Xenopus tropicalis: one gene and its partner. The protein of the gene in region 2 binds, or shares a complex with, the protein of the main gene of each other region. Links are inferred from orthologs where the notes say so. Each region holds a gene or a part of one and is shown on either strand. Other genes may lie near its edges. The genes, in order: unc13a and rims2.

Evidence for each region.
Region 1: the proteins of rims2 (region 2) and unc13a are in contact, whole or in part, in a crystal structure (PDB 2CJS), measured with the Rattus norvegicus proteins. The link is inferred for Xenopus tropicalis from reciprocal best matches to the Homo sapiens genes RIMS2 and UNC13A. Residues at the interface, in XP_063118965.1 of Rattus norvegicus: Asp102, Gly103, Cys104, Ser109, Gln112, Val123, Leu125, Ser127, Asn128, Lys129, Val134, Met135, Trp136; in NP_074052.2 of Rattus norvegicus: Tyr23, Ile36, Trp65, Leu69, Ile70, Trp71, Asp72, Thr73, Met74.

Annotation. Positions count from the first base shown.
Region 1 is NC_030677.2:98,801,721-98,805,558, reverse strand, and holds part of unc13a (protein unc-13 homolog A), read right to left. Parts: intron 3,631-3,838; coding exon 3,578-3,630; intron 3,420-3,577; coding exon 3,341-3,419; intron 2,391-3,340; coding exon 2,385-2,390; intron 27-2,384; coding exon 1-26. UniProt on the Homo sapiens protein: Plays a role in vesicle maturation during exocytosis as a target of the diacylglycerol second messenger pathway.
Region 2 is NC_030682.2:132,098,027-132,100,714, forward strand, and holds part of rims2 (regulating synaptic membrane exocytosis protein 2), read left to right. Parts: intron 1-330; coding exon 331-470; intron 471-988; coding exon 989-1,207; 3' UTR 1,208-2,688. UniProt on the Homo sapiens protein: Rab effector involved in exocytosis. May act as scaffold protein. Plays a role in dendrite formation by melanocytes.

The DNA of each region.
Region 1 (3,838 bases), on a different chromosome or scaffold from region 2:
CCAGCCTTCCGTGACTGAACCAGTGACTAAGGTGAGATGAATGAGAGATTGGAACCAATAAGGCATGGATACTAGACATATAAATACAATAAGTAACGTATCAACTGAAATATTTGCCAACAGGGGAGTTTTTTTTACTAGGTCATGGGCAACATGAATATACCTATACGGCAATTTCTAGTTTTTAAAAGAAAAATACTATTCAAGAGCATAATGATATCAAACTATGTTGTTTTTTTGTAATTTCTTCCTAATAAAGTGATCTGTTAGGAATAAGACTTTCCACCTTTTTGTTGTGCAAAATGTTGGTCATTTTTCACTTGAAGACATGAATTGCATGTGAAATGCAAAAAAGGAAAAGTTGTGTTCACTGCTAAATGTTAAACCTTTAAAGGGGGGTCCGATGAGAGTGTGACCACAAAATTCACCCCCTCCTAAAGGTTTAAAATGTAGTGGTGAGCACAACTTTCCCTCTTTTGCTATAATAAATACAGTAGCAGTGGCCAGCTCCTTGTTGCAGCTCCCACCCTTCCCAGCTACAGTCAGGTGATCCCAGTAGAGCCAATAAAAGGCCAACTATTTAGGAATTTTAAACTTGAAAGCAAGCTGCAGGTAAAACATAGTCTCTGTGTAATATGTATAATGAAGCAGTGGAATTCTTAATGAATCAGACGAAAGTGATTGTAGTACTGGCCAGACTGGGGATGACTTTGACGTAGCTGGCCTATATTGCAATATATTGACAAACAATCCATGTTTTGTTTAAAGAGGAGGGTATTTTTTTGGTGGCTTGATGCATGGAATGTCTTGTGTCCTTAGAATGTTGATAATGGGTGAGTGCAGAGGACCTTTATTGCAGATCATATCCCACTGTTATTAGGCCCTGCTCTATTGCATGCCCAGCTGCATTTAGCTACATTTTAAAACAACTGCAAAAAAAAAAACTCCTACCGCCCCTATCTAATGCAGCAATCTCTCAATATCCTCTGGTATGTTTATTATTTTGCACAACTATAATATATGTCTGTATATGTAAATGTCAGAGCTTCTAGTACCTCAGATTACTTTCTGTCCTCCCTGCTTATACAAGGTATGGCTTAAACAAGAAAAAAAAGGTGCAAGAGGGATGGCACGTACCCAATGATGATGATTAATCACTATTTGTAAGATAGCATCATATGTGGTGCTTTATGTCCAGGCTCTTTTTTAAAGGACAAGGCAATGCAAAATATAATTTTTTGCCTAATAAAAGAAACCAAAATTCTAAGCAGCTTTGTAATATACATTTATTACAAGTTTGTAATGGTTGTTGAGTTATTTGTATATATAAATTGCTATTAGAAGCAGTGTTTGCCTGTCCTTTTCTATTCTCTGCCCTGGTGGCTCTGACTGTTGCAACAATGTAACACAAGGCAGCAGACTTACAGACTTGACTTGCTGGAGAAGCAAGACCTTTGCAACATTGTTTAAAATGTTACAACCAGAAGTTCAGCAAATGCTGCTTTCAATAGCAATTACATTTACAAATAATGTTTAAAGCGCTACAAATTTTTAATTATTTCATATTGGAAAGTTGCTTAGAATTATGTTTTCTTTCATTATGCAAAAAATTATTTTTTTTTAAGAAATGTCAGTTTGCCAGAACACTTGCTACATTTGCCCAAAAACCCATTAAAGTGGACCTGTCACCCAAGCATAAAAAGCTGTATAATAAAAGTCCTTTTAAAATTAAACATGAAACCCAAATTCCTTTTGTTATTAACACATCTATACCCATTATAAAGGCATTTAAATATCCCAGCTGTCAATCATATATTGCCTGCCCTGCCTCTATGCCTTAGGCATAGAGGCAGGGCAGAGCATTACTTAAACTTTTCATTCAGCACTCATTTTTCCCCTCTCTCCTCATCATCTAATTGTGTAGCCAGTGCATGGACATAGGTATTAGGTCCCCCATTCTGGCCCAGAAACAAGATTTTGGGGTTATACAAAGCTTGTCTTTATAACAATGCCCACAAAATGGCAGCTGCCTGCTTGCTGTGATTGTGAATTCCTGACGACTGAAGGAAACCAGATTTATATTGTTTATATGGTGTAAGTGAAGGTTATTTTGCTTGACAAACACAATAAATAACAATTTGTAATTATTTCTTAGGGTGACAGGTCCCCTTTAATAAGATGTTTGTTTTTGATAAGGGGACCAGTAAATGCTACCTGCTGATTGGTTGCTATGGAAACTCAATTTTACAATATAGCAACTTATATAGCAACCATATAGTTTACATTCTTTTCTTTTGTGAATTAAAAAGAATCATTTCTATGCAGTTTTTATATAAACATAGTTTATTGCGGGGAAAGGGGCCACAAAGCCATCCTCTACTTACCATTGCCTTGGAACATTAAAGGAAGCATTAAATGGAACAAAATGATTAGAACATTTCCATCAAAGAAATCTATGCAATTAGGATTAGTTGTATATGAAAACAGTCATGTCTATTCAGTAATCAACAATGAATGGGATGGCAAAGTAACAATAATGGTTAAAGTGGTTTAGGGCACCCCTTTTTATAATACAGTTAGAGAGCTATATTTCATTCATTAAATCGGAACACTATAGGAAGCATGAAGCACCTTCACCAATTAAAGAAGAAGGAACAGTCAAAACTGGGTGTGTTGATTCATATTTAATGCCACCTGGTTCCTCAGTTAGGAATAAAACATTGCTTGTTATTATATTTTCACTCCATTTTACATTACATTTTTAAATTGTTATATTTATAACTTCCTGCTTTACAGAATGCCTATGGACACCTATTATAAAACTACTGAAAACACTATTTTGTGGTACAAATAAATATTTTTCTGTTCGTCACAGAGAAACAAATCCCCTTTCTATTTATTCCTATGGGATTTTTATAAGTGTATTTATCAAATGGTAATATGTTGATATATATATGCTTGTAAAAATCCCATACTGATGAATAGAAAGTTGGTGAGTTTTGATACATCTGCCCCATATTATTTGCTCTGTGTAGGCCCATTAGAATCACCTTTGGCACCACCTCAAAAAGAATACCAAACCTATTTTTAATCCTAATTGTAGCAATTGCCCAAGATAGATATGCCCAGCATCTGCAATGTATGCATCTGCATCTGCTGGATGACTATGTTCGCACACTATATCATGCTTTCAGTTGCAGATAAGCAAAACTGGTTAATCTTCACTGGATATGACTAATATGACAAGTCTTCACTATGTTGCTGTTGATAATTCTCATTTCTTCCAACTGATTTTAAACCTGTTTATTTAAGTAGGGCTTAGGACCAAGAGCAGACTTACCAGGTCACTGACCAACGGGATTGGTTTCCTCTTTCGTATGTCTGGCATACTGTCTATAATTATAAGACCACCAGCTGGCCTATGGTAAAAAGAAGACATAGGCATAATAAATGTAAACAAATGATAGATAGATAGATAGATAGATATATGATAGATTGCAATTAACACACACATATATACAGTACGATATAGTGTACTGCACTGTTAAACTGCGAAGTCTCTAAAAATTTTACTTACCCATCCTTAAACCAGAGGGATTTGGACATCTCCCCAGTCCCTTCACCTCGTGCCTGTGAAGTAAGTTTAACATAAATAAAGACAAAATCCTAAACCATTTCAGTGGGAAATGCTTGTTATTATAATACACTGTGATTTTACATTGTGCCATATACATACTGTTTTTTTGCAGTTACATTTGATTCTGGCCATTGCTTTATTCCTTATATCTAATCAGTGTGTAAACCATGTTACAACTACAAAATATTTCTAATATATGAC
Region 2 (2,688 bases):
GAGGAAGATCCAAAAAAGCATTAGCTAATGAATATTCTCCCCTTCAGTTAAAAACACATGAAAACAGGCGCACTCTTATAGTGTAAAATCAAAAGTAAATAGTTTAATACATAAAAGTTGCACTTGCAATTGTTGCAGTACAATACGAATCAATCAATGAGGCCCAACGCGTTTCGTCATCAAGTGACTTCCTCAGGGGAATCTCATATCTATCATAGATAATCATTATTTTAAATGTTTATGGGGTATTTTTGCATTTGTTGCATATTGTAAGCATTGGCGCAGTAGATTGCTCCTCAGTCACTTCAATCTGTTTCTCTTCCTTTCTAGCACCCTATGTTAAGGTGTATCTCTTAGAAAATGGAGTGTGCATAGCCAAAAAGAAAACAAAAGTAGCAAGAAAAACGCTGGAGCCTCTATACCAGCAAGTGTTAGCGTTTGAGGAATCACCACAAGGGAAGGTCCTACAGGTAAGGTTCTAACATTGATTAGCAAAGTAGCTCTGTAACCCTCCTCCTGCTTGTCTGTCTTTCTGTCTGTCTATCTGTCTATCTTTCTATCTATATCTATCATTCTATCTGTCTATCATTCTATCTGTCTATATCATTCTGTCTATCTGTCTGTCTATCTAACGTTCTATTTTTCTATCATCTTTATCTGTCATTCTATCTATCTGTCTATCTATTGTTCTATCTATCATCTATCTATTTATCTCTCTGTCTGTCTGTCTAGCTATCATTCAATCTCTATCTATTTATCTGTCTGTTATCTTTCTTTCTCAGTATATCTATCTCTATCTGTCTTTCTAGTCTCCATTGAGTTAATGTTCTGGTCTATTATTTTACTATAATTGGACATTTTTCCCAAGATCCCTTATCTTATGTTAAACGATAAGCTACTTGGATCAAATTCCCAGTAAAGAACTGTTTTGAGTGCAGTGTTGTTACTGTTTCGCTTATTATCTTTCTCTTTTCCTTTGCTCCATCAGATCATTGTTTGGGGTGACTATGGACGCATGGACCACAAGTCCTTCATGGGGGTGGCTCAGATACTTTTAGATGAACTGGACCTATCCAGCATGGTGATTGGATGGTATAAACTTTTCCCCCCTTCATCTTTAGTAGACCCAACGTTGGCTCCACTCACTAGGAGAGCTTCCCAATCATCTCTTGAAAGCTCCACGGGACCTTCTTATGCTCGTTCATAGCATCTGTGAAAAACAACTTGTCTGTGCAACCAGCGTTACAAAAAATGTAAAATCTCAACAAAACAAAAACAACAGGTCGCAAACCCTGGTAAACACTGCATGCTTAATGTTGTGTCTTCTGAGCCTGTTTCTAGGGATTCCAAGCGATCCTGTGTTCTCAGAGGAAGTTGCACACATTGTGCGCTAAAGAAGGCTCTCAGGGGAAGGAGCGGAGTTACGCATGACCAACAGGGTTGGAGACCAGAGAAGTTCAGTTCTAGTTGAATCTGAAGCCATGGATAACTGACACTATTAAAAAAAAAAGTCAATCTTTCATGCAACAAAAGTCATAATCAATGACATGTCATATTGTTGCTAGTTTTTTGGGTTTTTTTGGAAAATGTATTTCATTTTTGTATTTGACCCCAAAGACCGGGTAAGCCGAAGAATGAGATCTAAAGCAAGCAAAGCAGAAAACTAGGAGACCACAGGAGAAAGAGATGGCCCAGTGTTATTAAGGACAGTCGTTACGAGATATTACACAGCCCATTCGCTTTGGAAAGGTTGGCGACGCGTTTAACGCAACGAGCCCACCGCGCAAGATCTCTCCAGGGAAGATTTTTTTATTTCTGTGGTTATTCTGTACTGTATGAAATTTAAAGAAAAATTATATATATATATATATTTTTTTTTTTTTTTTGCATGGACATGGATCTAAGTAAACACTAAAATGATTTTATTTGGGCTGCAACTTGCAAAAAAAAAAACCACACAAAAATAAACGACAAAATAACAAAAAAGAATCAGCCATTTTCAACAATTTATATGATTTTTATGAAAACAAAAAAAAAATGTCACTAGTGCATGTTATAAAAAGGGAGAGAATGCAACCGCGTGATACGATGACAACAACCACCTTTCTCATTCTTAACAACCAATCACGGTCTGTGGTTTTTTTTTTCGTTTTTTTTTTTTCTTTTTGCAGACTTATATTCGACAGAAAAACAAAACGAATCATTTATAGCAAATATTTAAAATTCTGTTGATGTGACGAGAAATAAATGTAACATATAAGATTTATTTAAATGTAAAAGGTCCAAGCCTTGTAAAGTTGAACATTTCCGTGCAGAATTGTACATTGTCCCTTTCTGTCACTTCTTCTCATCCATAGACATTTTTGCATTTTGTCCTTCCGCCCCATGTCCCCTCCCCCCCATCTGATCACTGATTCTAATGCTTTTTTGATCAAGGATTGCAGAATTTTTTCCTCCCTGCATTCTTGTATTGTCTGATAGAAAATAAACAAAAGGAAAACGTTACTGTTTTGATCCCTCCCCCTGAGCGGCAGAGAAGATATCACTGCATTACGGCCTTTTCTGATCCTCGTGGGATGCCGTATTTTCTTTCATTCAAGCATGTTGAAAAACAAAAAAACAAAAACAAAAAAAAAAAACGATTTTGCAACATGGCTTGAGAATACCTAAGGTAATTCAGCATGTATT